Oryzias latipes: one gene and its partners. The protein of the gene in region 1 interacts with the protein of each later gene in a pairwise test. Links are inferred from orthologs where the notes say so. Each region holds a gene or a part of one and is shown in the gene's direction. Other genes may lie near its edges.

Evidence for each region. The genes of interacting proteins can lie anywhere in the genome.
Region 2: the proteins of mcm10 (region 1) and mcm6 interact in binary tests that used the Homo sapiens proteins (3 or more experiments, as listed by UniProt). The two-hybrid records come from large-scale screens. The link is inferred for Oryzias latipes from reciprocal best matches to the Homo sapiens genes MCM10 and MCM6.
Region 3: the proteins of mcm10 (region 1) and cep72 interact in a two-hybrid assay, tested with the Homo sapiens proteins (2 studies listed by BioGRID and IntAct). The two-hybrid records come from large-scale screens. The link is inferred for Oryzias latipes from reciprocal best matches to the Homo sapiens genes MCM10 and CEP72.

Annotation. Positions count from the first base shown.
Region 1 is NC_019881.2:2,769,761-2,777,612, reverse strand, and holds part of mcm10 (protein MCM10 homolog), read left to right. Parts: intron 1-1,494; 5' UTR 1,495-1,536; coding exon 1,537-1,543; intron 1,544-1,616; coding exon 1,617-2,030; intron 2,031-2,105; coding exon 2,106-2,267; intron 2,268-2,349; coding exon 2,350-2,490; intron 2,491-3,463; coding exon 3,464-3,665; intron 3,666-3,742; coding exon 3,743-3,908; intron 3,909-5,083; coding exon 5,084-5,251; intron 5,252-6,333; coding exon 6,334-6,450; intron 6,451-6,528; coding exon 6,529-6,725; intron 6,726-6,964; coding exon 6,965-7,059; intron 7,060-7,852. UniProt on the Homo sapiens protein: Acts as a replication initiation factor that brings together the MCM2-7 helicase and the DNA polymerase alpha/primase complex in order to initiate DNA replication. Additionally, plays a role in preventing DNA damage during replication.
Region 2 is NC_019875.2:17,213,075-17,219,265, reverse strand, and holds mcm6 (DNA replication licensing factor MCM6), read left to right. Parts: upstream 1-1,215; 5' UTR 1,216-1,318; coding exon 1,319-1,416; intron 1,417-1,566; coding exon 1,567-1,713; intron 1,714-2,165; coding exon 2,166-2,276; intron 2,277-2,359; coding exon 2,360-2,447; intron 2,448-2,523; coding exon 2,524-2,685; intron 2,686-2,759; coding exon 2,760-2,925; intron 2,926-3,019; coding exon 3,020-3,168; intron 3,169-3,251; coding exon 3,252-3,402; intron 3,403-3,482; coding exon 3,483-3,624; intron 3,625-3,709; coding exon 3,710-3,851; intron 3,852-4,153; coding exon 4,154-4,261; intron 4,262-4,341; coding exon 4,342-4,497; intron 4,498-4,571; coding exon 4,572-4,700; intron 4,701-4,790; coding exon 4,791-4,955; intron 4,956-5,037; coding exon 5,038-5,161; intron 5,162-5,246; coding exon 5,247-5,414; intron 5,415-5,502; coding exon 5,503-5,642; intron 5,643-5,725; coding exon 5,726-5,839; 3' UTR 5,840-6,191. UniProt on the Homo sapiens protein: Acts as a component of the MCM2-7 complex (MCM complex) which is the replicative helicase essential for 'once per cell cycle' DNA replication initiation and elongation in eukaryotic cells.
Region 3 is NC_019874.2:16,682,523-16,688,692, reverse strand, and holds cep72 (centrosomal protein of 72 kDa), read left to right. Parts: upstream 1-1,194; 5' UTR 1,195-1,286; coding exon 1,287-1,362; intron 1,363-1,512; coding exon 1,513-1,640; intron 1,641-1,820; coding exon 1,821-2,013; intron 2,014-2,095; coding exon 2,096-2,204; intron 2,205-2,532; coding exon 2,533-2,684; intron 2,685-2,761; coding exon 2,762-2,820; intron 2,821-2,902; coding exon 2,903-2,945; intron 2,946-3,307; coding exon 3,308-3,508; intron 3,509-3,763; coding exon 3,764-3,945; intron 3,946-4,060; coding exon 4,061-4,154; intron 4,155-4,240; coding exon 4,241-4,419; intron 4,420-4,504; coding exon 4,505-4,631; intron 4,632-4,702; coding exon 4,703-4,814; intron 4,815-4,889; coding exon 4,890-4,962; 3' UTR 4,963-4,969; intron 4,970-5,219; 3' UTR 5,220-5,858; downstream 5,859-6,170. Other genes in the region: uncharacterized protein LOC101162471, read right to left, coding at 1-372, 602-685. UniProt on the Homo sapiens protein: Involved in the recruitment of key centrosomal proteins to the centrosome.

The DNA of each region.
Region 1 (7,852 bases):
CTCATTCATACTTGGTGATGGTAGCTACGGTTGTAGCCACAGCTTGGCAACCCTTGGCAGACTGAAAGAGGCGAGGCTGCCAGTTTGCGCCTACGGCCCCTCTGACCATCACTGGGACATTCATGCACATCCACACACCAGGCAGGGAGGGTGAAGTGTCTCGTCCAAGAACACTATGACAGCTGGCTGGGTGGAGCGGTGATCGAACCGCCGACCCGTTGGTCATTGGACGACCTGCTCTACCACCTGAGCCACTGCCGCCCATAAAATGACCTCATTTGACCTCTTGGATTGTGCTTTTACCTTGACCAAAACAAACTTGGGTGAGACATTTTAGGACTTGGAACCACGTCTCAACGGTCTGTACAATGTCCTTTTTTTTGTTTTTACTGGAACTCAGTTTCAATTTCCACTTGAGAGATATTAATATACTAATTTAGCTGTGAAAAAGCAGTTATTAGGCCTGTTCACACCGGGACGAATTTCGCCGGCGATTTTCGCCGACGTTTAACGCCTCGTGACTAAACAAAGGGCACCAATGTGAGTGTGCACACCGACGCGAAAAAACGCCACGCGCCAAAGCGTCAAAAAAAAACGCCTCGGGTTCGTTTTTTTTTTCCGACGCGTCGAAATCTATTCGACCAATGAGAACGGCGCTTTTTCACACGTGTCTGGAGCTTCTGAAGTTACAGTAAAACACAACTTGGGGGCGCTCAAACACAAAACTGCCTTGCTGAGCACACATACCAGCGAAGAAGATAGACGCCAAGTAGCGTCTACACAGCCGCGAAGCAATAATGACGGACATTCTAAAATATCCCCGAACCAAGTACCAGTTGGAGCTACTGGTGCTTGAAATATTCATGTTTTCTTTGTATGATTCTGACAAGCGCGTAAATACTTGCTCTCTTCTTCTGAGTGAAAAGCGACTTTAAGAAGCGTAAAGTTGCGCAGCGCCACCTTGTGTACAGGAGTATTTCTGTTTACATTAAGCGCCATCTAATGTCAGGGAATGAAATTGCATGTTCCCTCCACTCATCGTCAGCGAAAATCGCCTGGGTGTGAACACAAAAGACGTGGCGAATAACGCCTGGCGAATATTCGTCCCGGTGTGTACGGGCCTTTAGACATTCATTTATAGTTTTTTATTATTTATTTGATTTTACAGATTTTCAACATTTTGGGAAGTTTATTGCTTTTTTATAAAGTACTCTTTTTCTTCTGGCCATCTCTGTATGAAATTACGTTTTTAAAAAGAACGTAATCTGCATTTGATCTGTTTTTATCGCCATAATGTCTAAAAGGGCGAGAGCAGAGATTAGAACGACAAACTTTCCCAATCTGCTGCAAAATCTTGGATCAGTAAATATCGGTCCTCCCTTAAAAAGCCTTTTTCTTAGTCTCCTTCTCAGTTTATTTGGACTTTTTAAAAATATACTCTTAAAGTACTGCTGTTGTCGCAGAACGAGACATTGATGCATTTTATTTTTCCAGGTAAGCCACTAACCTGCCGGTGACGCATCCATCACCTCCAACATGGACAGTAAGTGTTGTGACATTTTTTGAATTTGAAATAACTTTGGTCGGTTGAAACAAAGAAGATGTCGTTTTTACAGGCGAGGACGATCTGGAGATTTTGACGGCTCTGATTGATGAGGACGGGGGCGAGAGTGAAGAGCAAGAGCAGGGGGATGGCGTGGAAGGCCTCTGTGACGAACACGACAATGAGGACGGAGGCGCGAGTGAAGAGCAACAAGACAACAACCTGGAAGACCTCTGTGACGAAGATGAGGACAGCGGCGCGAGTAAAGAACAAGGGCAGGAAAACGACGACCTGGAAGGCCTCTTTGATGAAGACGATGAAGAGGAGGAGTACAAAGACGGCATTGAGGGGGACATCTTGGCCACAGAGGATGTGGTGACAGAACTTTTTGGAGATGTGGACGACATCCAGAATGAGGAGAAGGATGCAGAAGGGAAAGCGGAGCGTGGAGGAGAGAACCCGGACGTGTCCAAGGAGGAATTGCAGGGTTTGTGCTGGAACGCTTTCAGATCTGACTCACGTTTCGAGGTTCTGTAATTCATCCAGCGCTTTGCTTCTCCAGAGGTCCTTCGGCTCATGCAGGAGAAGATGAAGAAACTGCAGGAGCAGCTGGATGCAAAGCAGAAGGATGTGGCCTCATCGTCCACTAAAGCACTTGGGGGTTTGAAACCACCGGCCGCACCTCTGCCGTCCAAACGATCACAAAAAAGCAAATCACAAGCAGGTAAAGCCAGGCTGCTAACCGGCCTTTGCTGTTTTACACACGCGCTTCCTTAACGTTTGTCTTTCTCGATTTTTATCTGCAGCGCCGTCGACATCCGGCGCAGCGACATCCGGAAGCTCCAAACTGCAGGAGTCCTCAGACTTCTCCTCTCAGCTGAACAATGCAGACTCATTCAAACGCAAACAGAGAGTGGCTCACGCTGCTAAAGCTGCTTCGTATTCCGGTAAAAATACAAAACATTTCCAACATTTCTAGCTGGGGTTACGTGGACAAAAGTAATCGGAAAGAACGCCTGATGGGAATAAAAATGCGCCGTTCGGAATACTCGGCCCCGGTCAGACTCATCCGGATCAAAATGTCTTTCCGATAAAGATGGATGGGTTATGCCGATTGTTGATCCGATCGTGGGGTTAGGTCATGCAAAGACGGTGCGGCGCTCCAGAGGAGGCTTTGGGACGCAAACAAGACCGGCCAGCTGCTCCACGCGAGCGAAGTGCGTCTCTGAGCAGAGCAGCCGGACTCATAGCTTTGTGTTTACGGGCAGTGGGGGTGCTTTGTTAGGGTGTCCGCCCCGCCTCTCTGGGCGAGTGAACTGCAGTGTCTCATGGGAGAACTGTGTCTCCGAGCAGAGCTCAGACCGCCCCAACAAATGCAGCACAGTCCTGAGAAACCGTGTAAACAATCACGTGGATTTGTGTTTCCACTCATGTCCAGACAAAATTAAGGCTGATGTTATTCCCACAGACTAACGTGCAGCCAAGATGCAGACGCCAGCATGACTGCATGGATTTGAACTGCCTCCACGGATAAATGTTGTTGTTGGCACATATTAGCTTAATCCTAACCCGGCTCTGTGCGGCCAAAAAAAACAAGCATCAAGCACTTAATACTAACCATAACCATAACAAAATCAGGTTCAGAAGATCATCTGTTCTATGCTGCAGCTTGTTTGTTTACAACAGAACTCGATATTTCTTCCTTTGCAGTCGTTTCTGTTATTTTAGAGAGTTCTGCGCATGTCCACATGATTTGTTCTGACCGTTTGTAAACGTTTGTTATAATCGTATAAAGTTCTTGGGGCCCATGAACACAGTTCAATTCTAATCTGATCTTTGATCCGATTAAAGATGTTTTTTTCTTCTTAGATTTGCTTTGTTTTTGTGTGAATACATTTTTGTCCGTGGTTTTCTCGTCAGAGGACAGAGGCCCGTTGGTGGAGATAAAGATCGGCAGCTCCTTCCAGCCTCTGGAGAGCAAAGCTGCAGCTCCCGTTCGCTCCCCTCCCGCCCGTCCCAGCACGCCAGCGGCATCGGCAGGAAGGCCTAAGCCGGCCCCTCTTCCTCCTCCCCCTCCCCCCAAAGACGTGGCCGTTGAGAAATACTCAGGACTCAGACTCAGGTGTAATGAAACTGCCAGTGACGAACGCTCACTCTGCTGTCTTTTTGCTTCATGCGTTTGCTTTCCGTCTGAATCAGAAAACCGCGGGTTTCCTCCGTCGAGATGGACCAGAAGATGGCCAGTCGGCGGCTGATCCGTCTGTCACAGGTGCCGGAGCGTCTGACGCGGGAGAAGCTGGAGGACAGCGACTGGGTGACGTTTGGCGTGCTGGTCGACAAGGCAACGCCACAAAGCAGTCGCAGCGTAAGCAAGCAGCGCCGCTCCTGCTGCTCATCCTGCTCATCCTGCTCATCCGTCCAGAGCCACAAATATTATTTAAAAAAAAAATAGTCTTCTGATTTTTGTTTAAAAGATCAGTTTGAAATCATCAAAACACGACAATTAAATCTACACTAGAAAATCTGCTGCAAACTAAAATAAACTCTTCAAATTTCTTCAAAAAGAACTTATAAACCCCCTCCAAGAAATATGTTTTTTTGTGGCATTTCCCTTAATGATGAAGGACACATATGAAGAGTAGAATCTTAAAATTTATTTTTTTGAGTGTTTCTTTATTCAAATTGCAGCGGATCACGATTTCTAATGAACTCCCACCGCCCTACAGAAACTATGTCCTAGAAAACAACACAGGGGTTTTTATTTTGGCCAAAAACGCTTTTACAAAACGCGAAAAGATGGCCAGAGAGGACATATTTATACAACATAACCACAAACATACGTATGGGGGGAGGACACAGACGCCCCAAAGACGAGCTCCAAAACCAACTTCTATGAGCCGTGGTCACAAACAGGGGAGCTCAAGGCGGATTCTCTTCCTTAACCTCCCATGTCAAACGATTCTATTGGCTGGTTGAGCATCTTCGATATTTTTAATTGGTTGACCAAAAGGCAGTGGAGGCAGGACTCCCCCCCCCCCCCCCCCCCCTCCCATCCCGATTGGGAGCCTTTAAGTTTGCAATCTAGTTGCAGTCTCGTTGTATTTTGGGCTGGAAAAAGTTTTCCAACAGTAAAGGAAACTTCAAACCCCTGGTGGAGTTTAAGTTACTTTAGAATTAATTTAAAGGAAATAATGAATTCTTTTTTTTAAATATTGTATTTAAGAACAAGCAGGGCTGACTTGTACATTGAACTGCAGTTTACATTTGAGTTATGGTTTAAAAAAAACAGTTTGTTTTCATTTAATATTGCAATTTTAAAAATGTAAGATGAAATTGTAATTTGCATTGCAAAATGCATTTTTTTAAAGTGCATCATCAAATCGCAAATTACATTATCCATTGAGAATTGCTTATTACTTTGAATTGTGGGAAAAAAACGTCCATATTTGCTGCTGGAGATTTTTTTTCTTCTGATTGCTTTCTTAAAACACGGCCATGTCAGGACAAACTGCAGGATGATCGGTGTTCCGTTCCTCACAGGGAAAAACGTTCAGCATCTGGAAACTCAACGACCTCCACGGCCTGGACGTGTTCGTTTCCCTCCTCCTGTTCGGAGAAGTCCACAAGGAGCACTGGAAGATGGAACCGGGAACGGCGATCGGGCTCCTGAACCCGAACCCCATGAAGCAGAACGACGGATACAAGGGGGTGAGCAGACGGACGGCGGCCATGGAAGCACGTCCTCATTCTTACCGCAGACAGAAAAACTTAAACATGACCGGAATATTTGATCAAATCGAATTCTTCTTAGAAAACTCAACTTGTTTGTTGTTTGAAAAACAATCATTTGGTCAAAAAGACAAGTATTTAATGAAAACATTAAATGATTGAGAACAGGACGTCTGCTGGTTGATCCTTCCGGTTCCGTTTCAGGATCATGAAAACTTTTCCTGATTGAACTTTGGGAATTTATTTGAAAGTTGTATTTTTTCCCTCCTTGATGATGTTTACCTCAAAATCCTCAAAACCATTTTTTTACAACAGTAGTGCAGAGTATTGGATCAAAATCCCTTTCAGAACACTTTACATCAGGGGTGGGCAAACGTTTGGACCCTGGGGCCACAAAGGGTTCTAACATTTGTCACAAAGGCCGAACCAGAGGCATGGTTTTTTTAATGATTTTTTTTCTAAATGATGGATTGTTTATTTCTGATCTCCTAAAGTGCAGCTGTTTCCCTGCATTACCTGCTGTCTGTATGTCAAATACTGACACCAACTAAACCACAGGCAGACAAAGAATACATTGATGGAAAATAAAGATACGTCATCAAAATGTCTACAATTCTTAATAAAGAATGACATTACTAGCATGAGCTGAGGAATCTAAAGGAACCATGATCCAGGCTGTGCTCCGTGCGCCAGAGACGCCCATTCACAGTTTCAGGCTGATACAAACTCTGTCATTCAACACATCATAGGAAACCAATAGTGGGCTACAGTTTTTTTTCCTAGCACTGAGCCCCACCGGCCCCCGATAAATTTGCCCCCCGGCATCACATGCCCCACTATTTGAGAAGCACTGGTTTAGCTAAAGGTTGAGGGGTTTAAGTCTTTAAAGAAATCAAATGTTTCCCCCTTTGTTTTTAATAACCTAGTACCTTAAGTGCAATCGGGAATCTTGAGACGATCCCAGAAAGCTTCAAATAATGTCTGCTGAAGAATCAGCAGAATGTCAGCATTCGGGTTCATTTTGCTTATTCAGAAATGGATTTTTAAAATTATTTTTTTAGGTGAGTCTGACGGTGGATCACCCACAGAAGGTGCTCGTTTTGGGCGAAGCTCAGGACTACGGCACCTGCAAAGCCTCGAAGAAGAACGGAGATCCCTGTTCTCAAATCGTCAACTTGGTGAGTCCTAAGTGAAACCGCGTTTCTTCACCTCCTCCTCCTCCTTCACCTCCCTTCACGATCCGCTCCTCTCTGCAGTACGAATGCCAGTACTGCCAGTACCATGTCAAGGCCCAGTATAAGAAGATGAGCTCAAAGAGGGCGGAGCTGCAGTCATCGTTCTCTGGAAAAGGCCCAAACACCCTGAAGGGGAAGGGGGGCGGCCTCAGACAGCGCCTGTGTCAAGATGGCTTCTACTACGGCGGCGTGTCGTCTTCTGCCTGCGCCGCCACGCTGTGAGTGCAGCTTTGTCCTGGAGGAGTGATCAGAGAGATCTGTCAGGACGCTTCAAGGCTGTTCATTGGTTAAACCTTTGTTGGTTCAGATTTGTGCTTTAGAATTAGCTTTTATGTTACAAACAGTGAAGTACTGTCCTGAAACACAACAAAGTTTATTGTAAACATTTGGCTCAGCAGCACATGAATCATGACACGTCTGTTTTCTGAAAGGCCGTCCTCATTTTCATCTTTTCCAGAACTGCTTCCAAACCGAGCAAACCCCAGCAGAAGACTCTGGAGCAGCTGTTTGTGAGTGGCTCAGCTCAGCTCGTTAGGCGCGCCAAGCAGATAGGTAGGAGCTGCTTGGTCTGTTTGTGGTTTACCACAGACTCAAGGAGGGAGTGACTTAGTTTGTTTTATTTAGTAACTCTGTGGTTGATGTCATCAGATGTGAAGATGCTCTTAACCTTTCTTAGCCTCTACCTCTGTGTCTGCCATGGATGCAGTTAGAAATTGGGTTTTGAGCAGCTTCCTAACCTAACCAGATATCTAACCTAACCAGCTTCCTAACCTAACCAGGTTCCTACCTTAATCAGATTTCTACCTAATCAGCTTCCTAACCTAACCAGAATCCCAACCTAACCAGATATCTAACCTAACCAGATATCTAACCTAACCAGGTTCCTAACCTAACCAGGTTCCTACCTTAATCAGATTTCTACCTAATCAGCTTCCTAACCTAACCAGAATCCCAACCTAACCAGATATCTAACCTAACCAGATTCCTAACCTAACCAGATTCCTAACCTAACCATATTCCCACAGCAGCAAGCAGAATATGTTTGATTTTAAATTGAACTAGATTTGGTTAAAAAGATGATTTGGCAAATTATCACACTAAGACCAATTTAGTTTGGTTTTAAAACCCGTTTAAAAAAAAAAATTAAGTAAACAAAAGAGGAACCTTTAACCACAAACATACACATTCACCAGCTAATAGAAAAGCCTTTTTAGTCTTAAAAATAAAGGAAATAGCATTAAAGCTGAATCCATTCATGTTTTTGTTGAAACAGTGTTGTATTTTAGGTGTAGAGGGATCGATTTTGTTGCTTATTTCTAAACCTCCTCCTATAGAACACACTAAC
Region 2 (6,191 bases), on another chromosome or scaffold:
AGAATATTTGTGAGGTGAAAAGTTGTGTTTGTATACAAGGGACCATGAAAGGAGAGCTTGGCGATAAAATGCAGATAACTTAAGTGGGATTTTACATAAATCATAATTACACATGAGAAAGAAATCAGCGGCACCAATTTTAGATAAAATATGAAGAGGTATAGTGTTCCAAATGGAGCTGGGATTTCTAAAAAGTTGTTTTAGCCAATAAATTTAAATGTGTTATTCAAGGTATAAAAATCGAGAAAATTGAGGCCACCTTTGTCAAAGGAGTTCATGAGAACATTTTTTTAAGTAATGGGTTCTGTTTTTCCAGATGAAATTAAAAAGCATTTTGCCAATTTCTTTGATAATTTTATCATCAACGTGTAAAGCCAAAGCTGCATATGTTAAGCGGGAAATACCTTCTGCTTTGCTGAGTAAAATCCTACCTCCCAAAGATAGATCTCTAGAGAGCCACTTTCTTACTAAAACGATTCATTTGGGGGAATTACACATGTCGGTATAGCCTTCTCTTTCATGAATGACTTATTCATCTTTGTAGAAAATGATCTACTTTATCTATTCAATAAACAGTCTTAACTTTATCTGTTTTGACAAGTCAATTAATAATTTAAAGTAATATGGTCAAATTTCAATTTACTTCTTACATTAAATGCATTGATACGTTGACTTTTGGCTTCTCCCATCAGGGGTCATCACAGCACAACAACCCTCCTTCGAAGATGAGTCCCATGGTTAATTTGGCAATGATTTTACGCCGGATGCCCTTCCTGACACAACCCTCTCAATCCAACCGGGCTTGGGACCGGCACAGCAGCAGAGAAGGGAACAGGGAGCAGCCCGGATTTGAACCCTGGTTTCACGGACGGAAGGCGCTGCAAACCAGCACGAGCTAAACCGGCCCCAATACAATATTTTAAAATGTTATTTTCGCCAAAAGTAAATATTATAGATTTATTGTATACAAAATTATTGTATTTATTTATGTATTTATTAATTTTGTTTTTGTATTATTTTCTCGTTTTAAATAAAGTTCTCTGGGAAGAAAAAAAATCCCGCAGGGACAGTCAAAGAAACGCCCCTATTTCTACGTCACTTCAATGTTTCGCTTTTAATTGGCTGATATTGCGAGTGACTCCGCACCGTGGCGCCGATAGGACGAAAAAACCGCGCCAAACGTCACGTGGCCTCACTTTTCGCGCGAAACCGCCTTCTGTTGTTGGGACTGAAGATCTGTGCTCGCCACCGTGTCCTCCTTCCTTCCACACGCGGAGTGTTCCTTTGAATCTCTGAGGCAGTTTTGCTACAGCGCAGGATGGACGTTGCTACAGCGACCGCGGAGCATGCCGGGACGACGGTGAAGGACGAGCTGGCGGAGAAATGTCAGAAGTTATTCCAGGCTTTCTTAGAGGAGTGAGTATCAGAGTATCCATCCAGCAGGAAGAGTCTTTGTTGTCGGCCTTGACAAGTCAATCACGAGTTGATCGCCTGCTTAAACACCTCTTTTTATTTAGATTTTCTTGGTTATAAAGTGAGTCTAAGGTTAGTTTTGCTTCTGTGCAGATTCCAGACCGCCGATGGGGAGGTGAAGTATCTCCGGGAGGGGGAAGAGCTGATCAGGCCTGAGAGGAACACTCTGGTGGTGAGCTTCACAGACCTGGAGGGCTTCAACCAAGAGCTGGCCACCACCATCCAGGAGGAGTACTACAGGCGAGTATGGAGAGCAAATACACCCACTGGAGTTGTGTGTGTGTGTGTGTATGTGCTGTGTGTGTAATTCTTGATTTGAAGGTCATTTTGTGTATTCACATGCACAAATGTAAAGAATTTAAAAACGCACAAATACAATTTACGCACAACTTGTAATGACAGCTGACAATGTCAAGTATTTACTAGATATTATTCACAAAGTAAGTTTAAAACTCTGATGACCCAGCATTCTAGCAGCATTTAAATGCATCATCTACCCACTGATCTGAAGACGTGACGTCTCACAACCCCTGGTGCAAAGCATAGTTCGTTTTTAGCTGCTGTCATTTCAAGTTGTGCGTAAATTGTATTTTGTATTTGCACATTATTGATCTGTTACTTCATGAAGGAACAGAACAGCTTTTGGTTGGAAGGGGGCCGCTTGTGTTAAAGTCGGACTTCTGCATTTTCAGGGTGTATCCGTACCTGTGCAGAGCAGTGCGCAACTTTGCTCGAGATCACGGGAACGTGCCGCTCACCAAAGAGTTTTACGTAGCCATCGAGGATCTGCCTACAAGACACAAGTAAGAGCGATGCAGGAACTATCACTGTTCATAAATGTCAATCAAGACGGTCAAATCGACGGTCTTTTCTGTGTCCTTTACAGGATCCGTGAGCTGTCCTCCATGCGGATCGGTACCCTGGTGAAGATCAGCTGTCAGGTGGTGAGGACCCACCCAGTCCACCCTGAGCTGGTAAGATTCCCCCTAAACGACCACATTTCATCACAGAAATGTGGACTTGTCGATGATGGATGCCTTGCGGCTGCAGGTGAGCGGCACCTTCGTGTGCATGGACTGCCAGATGGTGATCAAAGACGTCCCGCAGCAGTTCAAGTACTCGCCCCCCACCATCTGCAGAAACCCCGTCTGCAGCAATCGCTCCCGCTTCCACCTCGACACGCACAAGTCCAAGTTCATTGATTTTCAGAAGGTAGTGTGTGATGGAGCGGTCGTGCAGCTGGTCGCTGTTCTGTGTCTGATTTAGGGTGATACTTGTGTGCTCAGGTGCGTATCCAGGAGACGCAAGCAGAGCTGCCCCGGGGTTCAATCCCGCGGTCGCTGGAGGTCGTCCTGAGGGCAGAGGCTGTGGAGACGGCCCAGGCCGGAGATCGCTGCGACTTCACCGGGACACTCATCGTCGTGCCGGACGTCTCTCAGCTCAGCACTCCTGGTAAGACTTCACTGTGGGTGAACTGTACCTTTTTACTTTTGCATTTTGAACTTTGACCCTTCACGGTTGGGTGTTTTGAATGTCTTGTTGTCAGGTTTGCGAGCTGAAACCAGTTCCCGTGTGGGCGGGGGGCGCCAGGGCTACGAGGCGGAGGGTTTGAGGGGACTGAAAGCTCTGGGAGTCAGGGAGTTGTCGTACCGACTGGCTTTTCTAGCCTGCAACGTCGCACCGACCAACCCAAGAGTAAGAACTCCGCCCCAAACACACACACACACACACACATTTCAGGCTCCAACAGTCGTATAACTGTGAATAATTGTGTGTAGTTCGGTGGGAAGGAGCTTCGTGATGAAGAACAGACAGCTGAGAGCATCAAGAGTCAGATGACAGAAAAAGAATGGGAGAAAGTGTTTGAAATGAGTCAGGACAAGAATCTGTACCACAACCTGTGCACCAGCCTCTTCCCCACCATCCATGGTTGGTTCTACCTCCTCTGTTCTACCGCTTCTCCTTTGTTTTTAAAAAACAAAAGTCACATCTGCTGCCTGATCTTGTAGGAAATGACGAGGTGAAGCGCGGTATCCTGCTGATGCTGTTCGGTGGCGTTCCCAAGACGACGATGGAGGGGACCTCTCTGAGAGGAGACGTCAACGTCTGCATCGTCGGAGACCCGAGTACCGCAAAAAGCCAGTTCCTGAAGTGCGTGACGCGCCCGGCAGGAACACGCCGCTGAACCGCTTAAAGGTGAACTACTTCAGGAAGTAACGGGGTCGTTTGTGTTCAGGCACGTGGAGGAGTTCTCTCCCAGAGCGGTGTACACCAGCGGGAAAGCCAGCACCGCCGCAGGTCTGACGGCGGCTGTCGTCCGGGACGAAGAGTCGCACGAGTTCGTCATTGAGGCGGGAGCTCTGATGCTCGCGGATAACGTAAGGCATCCGGGTTAAAGACACACTCTGATGTACTTTGTGTTTGTATTTTTCTGATGATGGAAAGAAAATTAAGCCTAGAATTGCATTTCTGAGTATTTTTTTAAATAAAATTGTTTTGAGCAGACGAAATAAATGCAGTTTGGAAAAGATTGCGTTGATGATAGGTTTCCTCCATTCTGATGCATCTACTTGCATGGATCCATGTTACGTTTTTGCTTTCCTCGTCTAAGTTGGAATCTGTATTAAAAGACCACTGGGAAGGCTTATTTAAAAAAAAACGTCCATATGTCTGCTTTTAGGGGGTGTGCTGCATCGACGAGTTTGATAAGATGGACATCAAAGACCAGGTGGCCATCCACGAGGCCATGGAGCAGCAGACCATCAGCATCACCAAAGCCGGAGTGAAGGTAATGCTGCAAAGCCTTGAGATAAAAAGGGGAGAGCGAGGCTGGTGAGGGGAGTAAATAGGTGGATTTTGCGGTTTCAGGCGACCCTGAACGCCCGCACGTCCATCCTAGCTGCAGCCAACCCCGTCGGCGGCCGCTACGACCGCAGCAAGAGCCTGAAGCAGAACGTTAACCTGACCGCCCCCATCATGAGCCGCTTTGACCTCTTCTTCATCCTGGTGGACGACTGCAATGAGGTGTGATTTTGTGTGAAAGGGTTTTGTCGTGTCTTTTTCCCCCCTCCCATAACCTCTGTCCTCGCCGATGTCAGGTCACAGATTACGCAATCGCAAGACGAATCGTGGACCTTCACTCGCGCGTGGAGGAGTCCGTGGACAGGCTTTATTCTCTGGATGAGATTCGAAGATACCTGCTTTTTGCCAGACAGTTTAAACCAAAGGTGTGTGCTTTTTTTCAATTTAATTTTTCATGGTATTAAACCCTAAAATGTGACTCCTTAATTTTTGGAGTGTGTCCCCTCCTTTTCCAGATCTCCAAAGAGTCTGAGGAGTTCATTGTGGAGCAGTACAAGCGCCTCCGCCAGCGAGACAGCACTGGAAGCGTCTCCAAGTCTGCCTGGAGGATAACCGTTCGGCAGCTGGAGAGCATGATTCGCCTTTCTGAAGCCATGGCGCGCATGCACTGCTGCGATGAGGTACGGCCTTCACTCAAACGAAACACCTGGAACGTTTCCTGCGTCGCCCTTCTGTCTGACATTTTTTTCTCTGCAACTTCAGGTGCAGCCCAAACATGTGAAGGAAGCTTTCCGCCTTCTCAACAAGTCTATCATCCGAGTGGAGACTCCTGATATCAACCTGGAGCAGGAGGACGAAGTGGAGGAGGAGGAGCAACAGGAGGAAGGTGATGACACGCTCCCCATCAATACGGGGGGGGGGGGGGGGGGTGGCAGCACTACCTTGTATTTCATGAGCGCTCCTGTTTCTAGGCAACAATGTTCCAAATGGAGTCAATGGTCACGTCAATGGCCACATGGAGGATGTGAACGGCCACTCGGAGCACAGCGCTCAGTCCAAGCCGTCCCTCCGCCTGTCGTTCTCCGAGTACAAGCGCATCTCCAACCTGCTGGTGCTTCACCTGCGCAGAGTGGAGGAGGGTACGGCTTCTGGATTTTCACGGTCCCCCCCATTGCATTTGCCTTTTTTGTTTGTTTGTTTGTTTTAACGTTGTCATCTGTGCTGCAGCTGAGGAAGAGGAGGAGCTGAAGAAAAACGCTGTGGTGAACTGGTATCTGAAGGAGATTGAGTCAGAGATCGACTCAGAGGAGGAGCTCATCAATAAGAAGGGCCTGATAGAGAAGGTGATCCACAGGCTGGTGCATTATGTGAGTAACCCTCCTGGTGTTTTAGATAATTAAACGTTATAGAACAAACCGGTCAATTTATTTCAAATTTCTGTTTTTTTTAGGACCATATCCTAATCGAGCTGTCCCAGGCAGGACTGAAGGGCTCAGAGTCTGGGAGCACAGAGGAGGAGGAAGTTGTTCTAGTTGTCAACCCCAACTACACCCTGGAGGACTAAACTGTCTGCATCATCCTCCATCATTGATGCTTCAATGGATTTCTTACATTGCAGCCTCTAAAATGCTGTTGGACTTATTTTTCGAGTTGACCTCAGCTATTTAAAAAGAAAAAAAACAAGGGAAAAACAAAAAAAAGCAACGTTTAGGGATTTTCAAGATGAATAAACTGTAAATAGGTTTCCGCTGCTTTTTCTAACTCACTGACTTTTGTGTAACCTAAATTGAAAGCTTTCCACAGTATATATATTCAATTCAAATGTCACATTTGAAAGACTGGGTTTCAAGTTATGTTTTGTGTGTTATGATGGAAATTAAATGGTAGTTTAAATAATAAAAATATTTGTAAGCAAA
Region 3 (6,170 bases), on another chromosome or scaffold:
CTCCATGAGTAATGGCAAACTGAGGGCTACACCTCCTACAGCACCCAAAACATTACCAGCAAACAGACACACCATCAGGCAGCAGGACAGAGACGACAGACCCAGGCAGCGAGTCAACACAGTTAGAGTTTCAGCCGACAGCCAGTCTGAGAGTCCCAGTAGCAGACAGGAGCCAATCAGGAGGGTCCATGCGGTGCCGTGATCCTCGCTGAGCCACAGGAATTCAAAAGCAACCAGCACTGGTGCCAGCACCTCCCCAGCCCAAGTGGCTTGCTTTTTGAGAGAGGCCAGGTGTGAGCTTGAAGGCAGGAGGACCCAAAGCGTGGCAGAGAGACCAAGCAGGAAGAGGCCTATTGAGGGGCCCCTGTGATCCTGCAGAACATGAGATTATAGTCTGTTTAATATATTGAGAATTTGTGACCATACTCTTAAAGGGAAAACATAAACACACTGATGTTGACGAAGGCAAGCATAATCAATTTTATAAAAGATTACTTTTTAGTAGCTGGTGTATTATAAAAAAAAGCCTCATCTTTATTGAAGTATACTCTGTTTATCAAAAAGCATTCTACAAGTTTTAAATATAAAATAAGAGACGAACCTTGAAGAGTTTGCGTGAAAAGTATAAAGCTGTGGTGGACAGAATGATGTTACTACAACATGCCATCCACTCTGTTGACGCCATTCAGGAAAGCGCGCCGGAACACAAACCTGCAAACACACCGGAACTAAAGTGACAATATTTTTACTTAAAGTTCAAATGAAACTACTGACGCTGCCCCTTTTTATAACTGGACTGAACAGAAAGACTAAACTTTGGGGCAAGGAGGAGCAGAACAATGTTTGTGTTCACACGTGACAGAATGTCTTCAGAGCACTGCGCATGCTCCAAAGGAGGCGTTCAAAGTCCCTTGTAAATTCTGAGACGTTGTCAACCATATTAATAATGATCAAACTAGCAAAGATCGGTTAACACTTTTTGTTAAACGTTATTTATTCTTGTTTTATTGGAAATATAATTCTTTGTTTAAAAAAAACATTTTAGGTTCTGTCGAGTAAACGAGTAAATCGTTATTTTTAGGTCGCTGTTAACTACTAAAAAGTTACCATTTTAAAGAGGGTTTTGTGTTAGTGTGTGACATACTCATGCGACAGAGTATTTAACTGAATTTTTTCCTCATAAATTTAAAACTTTACTCCGTTGCACACTGACTGTGTTATTTTTGTTTCTTTCATTGAAGTCGTTTTTTCACGACAGCACTTGAAGGCAGCAAAGTTTGAAAAGTATGGCGACGGAGTGTCTAACAACAATCTCAGAGCAATGGATACGCGACAGATTACAACTAAAACATCCGTGTCTCGGTAAGAGTTTCATTCACCTGTGCATTGGAAAAACAAAAACCCCGCGTAAAACATTTTTTCTGTCTGACTGAAAGCAGATTAGCTATTCAAAGCTATTTTATGATGAACCGTCATCTTTTGGTCATTCATTGTTGTGTGTTTGATGCGCAGGTGATGTCCGGTCACTGAGCCTCCCAGGAACGTTAGAGGAGAAGATTGGACATCTAGGGAACGCTCTGAATAACTTCATTCGCCTGAAGTCTCTGGATCTTTCCTACAACGCCCTGGTTTCTGTGGAGGTTTGATATTTTTAATTTTTCTTATATTAAGAAAATACTTTATACTATAAAAAAAAGTCTCTTCAGAATTTATATTAAACTGATTTCAAATCACAGTCATTTTTTTTATTTTATTTCATGTGACTATTATTTCCATTGTTGGATGAATGCTTACAAATCTGGTTCCTGTTCTTTCTTTAGGGGCTGCAGCATTTAAAAAAACTGGAGAGGTTGATTCTTTATCATAACTGCATACCATCTCTTGAAGAGGTGAAAACTCTGTTCCAGCTTCCTGTTTTAAGAGAGCTGGACCTCAGGCTCAACCCTCTCACCAAAAACTGCCCACACTACTGGGCTTATATCGTGCACGCCTTGCCCAGCTTGCGAAAGCTTGGTAAGCTGGAGTCATCTGGGCCTGTTTTTGTGACTGTTTTCTGTCAAGTTCCCGACATCGTAATGAGCTTTTGGGTTTGCAGACAGCTGCTCGGTCAGAGAGACGGAACGCAAAGTTGCCATCATGCAGTTCTCCTCTGATCTTCCTCCTCAGCAGAAGAGATGCTCTCTGAATCTGGCTGAAGATCAAAGGTACGCCGAGCACAAAATCAGTTTAATGCACAAAACCTTCTTAATGCAGGCTTTAAACACCAATCTGGTCTAAATTCAGAAACTGTATGGAGCTCAGATGATGGAAATCCAGCGGTATATTATAAAGCTGCAATACACACACTTTTATCTCAAGGTTTTTTTCATCTTGTTTCATCCTTTTGTAATAAATCTATTCGTTAATTTCCATCAAACCTGCTTTCTTAAACTAGCTTGTTATTGAAGCCTGGAAGCATCAAATATGTGGTTTTTAATGTATATTTCAACCTTTTAATTAGTTATTTCTCTGTTCTGTGCCTGTTGCTGTCAGAAGCAGCAGGTTTCGTCTGGCTTTGGTCGACCGTTTGACCAAGAGGCTGTCACTCTCAGCAGAAAGTCAGGATATTGTGTTAAACAGAGTCGAGGCTGACCTTGGAGACCAATCTAAAAGAGTCAGCGACTCCGTTTACAGGAAAGGAGAAGGTAAGGACCCTTAAAGGTAATTTTTAATCACACCAAACCTGCTGACGTTCTTTCTTCACGTTGAAACCTTATTCTAGAACCCAAGGAGGAAATATTACAAAATTTCACAGAGAAGAAGAGTTCAACTCCAAAACAGGTGACTTTCTTTTTCTCCATGTCTGATTAAAAAAAAATAGTCACCCTATGCTTGCATGAATGACGGCACCCTTTGCTTGTAGGAATCTACTAAATCCATCCTCAGATATTCACCCAATATCAATGGTAAGTGTGTTTTTGGGTATTTATTTAATGATTTAATTATCTGTGTGTATATCAGAGCACTAGTAAGCAGATGGATTGCAGCAGTTGCTAAAGCAGCTAAAATGTATTTAAGTTGGTCTGAATAAGAGATTTTGTAAACCAATTCATAATGCATCATATTTTTCCCTAACATTTAAGGAAACAGTTCATGGCAATAAAAAGAGATTTTTGGTGGTGTTTGCCTCATTGTTGACTAACTATAATATTTTCAATTGTTTAAGCAGAAACATAAATGTCCACCAGGGAGAGCTAGATGTCAACTCCATAAAAATGTCTGACACTAAAAGATGAAAACATATTTGTGCCTTTCTGTGAATTTACAGATGTTGTTGTATCCAGAGGGCTACAGATGAAGGAGACACCTCCAATGAAAAACTCTACCTCATCTAAAGTAGCTGAAAGGCCTAAAGTGTCCTTCGGTCCTTTTGTAGAGAAACACAGTGCAGACAGAGGACTTCCAAACCAGAAGCTGTCCTTTAAACAAATCAGACACGAAGCTAAGGGCCATTTTACTCCAAACCCTGGTTATATATATATATATATATATATATATATATATATATATATATATATATATATATATATATATATATATATATATATATATATATATATATATATATATATATATATATATATATATATATATATATATATATATATATATATATATATATTTATTTATATTGTGTATTTAACAACTGCTATTTATTGTGGAATTTTGCCAAAGTTCACATTCCTCACTTCCTTGGAACTCTGAATGTACATGACTTTTTCAGATCAAAGCCAGTGTCGTAGCACCTCATTGATCAACATCCGTCCTGCCAGTCCACTGCAACCCGGTTTGACTCTGTCTGAGTCCTCTAACCCCATCTTACACCCTGCAAGACTCACCTACTCTAGCATCAACACGGCAGACGGGAGCAGCAGCCTGAAACAACAAGCTGGAAGGAAAAAAAGGGTTAACATTCAGTTCAGCTCTCCGACTGATTTATACTCTAAATCATAAACCTTTCTTTATTTATGCAAGGATCTTTTTATAGAAAACTTACAGCCTCTGCGAATTCCATTCTCAGGGTACTTACCGGAAGCCCCTGGAGATGCTTCTGAACCTCGTTGACAAACACTGGAGGGGCGAGAGGTCACTGCACCATAACAACAACTTCCTGTGTGAGCTTGCTTTGGGAAATGTGGTTTCTAATTACAAGATCCTGTCAAGATGCATGTCTTCTCACTTTCTCTATTTTAAACTCCAGCTCAAGCTGTCCAAATCCTCTCTATGATGGAGAGCGACATTTCCAGTCGAGAGGCTGAGGTCAGGACCTTAAGGCAGGATGTTGATACACTCAGAATTCAAGCTGTTGCCCGGGAGGAAGAACACAAAACTGAAGTCAGGAAGCTCTCTGCTCAGCTGGAGGAAACTCGTAGAACCGAGGTAAGTTCATTAATCATAGATAAAAACTTTGCATTGGAGCGCGTTGACACTGATCAGCATACTATACTGCCGCTTTTTGACGCAGGGGAAACTAAACGAGCAGCTGAGGATCGTCTTGGAGGAAAATGTCACACTGCAGAAGCAGCTCATCAAGTTAGAGCGTCAGTACCTCAAATCAATGATAAGAAGTTCACCGATGACTCAGATCAGAGGTGGGTGGAAACGCAATCGTTGTGTGGAGATCTTTTTTAGAAACTACTAGCTTGTGTTTGCTCATCTTTAGAGGCTCAGACAGAAGTGGAGGAGCTAAAGAAGGACATCGAGGGACTGAGGAGGAAAGTGCATGAAGCTGAAAAGATCCAGGACCTTTCAAATATGCTGCAAGAGAGCCACAAGTACGGAGATCCTGCAGGCTGACGTGCAGAGCGCTGTTTTTGCACAGCAAGATCATTTTTCTTTCTTTTTTGCAGGTCTCTGGTGGCTACCAACCAGTCTTTGCTTGCCGAGCTGAAGGGAAGCGGAGAGCATTTGAGGCAGATATGATGGAAAGGTGCATTTGAACATATTATTTTAATCACGGTAGTTTTTTCTTTTAAAAGAATTAGCACAGACTTTCTTCTTGATATAAACAGTAACCAGGGAGAGCCATTCATTCATGAAATTGTGTATATCTGCACGTCAGGTCTGTTATGCTAACAAATTATTATCAGGGAGAAAATGTGAGAAGGTAGGTCGGTGTCGTAGGTTTTCTGGATCTTGTTGTAAGATCTTTTTCTTTTTTTTTCTCTGTTTTTTTTTAGGTCAGTTGTGTCTGTCTGCAATGGAGTGGATGCATCAAGGCTGCAGCTGCACTCTGACTTTATTTATACGTCTGCCTGAAGGGCTAGAGGGCTGCGCACGCACATGCACTTTCCTCTCACAAACCTTAATACAAGACTGACCAGCTTAGCATTTCTATGCAACACAAAGTCCACACAGCTTTGGCTCTCCTCTAAATGTTACCGGTCACTGGTTTGGTGCTGTTGCTGCAGTTTGATTTTTGACTCCTACTCGGCACATGTTGGGATTTCTTTATTTTTTGAATAAAGCACTATAAATCATGAACACACCTGGAGAAATCTCGAGATCAAGGACAGACGCTGAAACACGGCATGCACTGGGTCACAATGAGCATGTTAAAAAGGACTTGGAAAACTATTGTTTCTCCACAATAAAAGTGCACATTATTTGGCATCAGAAGCACAGAAACGATACTCCAGCGTTCGCAGCAGACACAAAAACACACCGAGCTGCTAGTTTTGATGCATGACTCTTCATCGGCTGAGGCTACAGGTAGTGCGTTACACAAGAAACTGTTATCTTGGAAAAATATTTTACAAAAGTGGCTTGTTTGTTTCTCCTTTCATGTGGAATACTTAGTAAATAAACATTAAAAAAACCCTGCTTCGTCAGTTCGATAACCAAACATTAACAGTACAGACAAAAAGAGTTGCATTCGAGGATAATTTACTTTGCAAACATTTCAAGCAACACAAGATTTTATCAGTATCCCACGGCTTCAATGACATTTTAAGCACAACAGTTGTTAGTTTGGCACAGCAGTTTCAGAGTTTTCATCCATAAAGGCCCTGGAACAATATATTCAGAACATGCAAAAAAAAGTACACATCACAGGAAAATTTAAAACACACAACCAGTGATTTAAATTAGGGTGCGCGGCTAAATATGTCTGAATATTTACACAGTCTTGC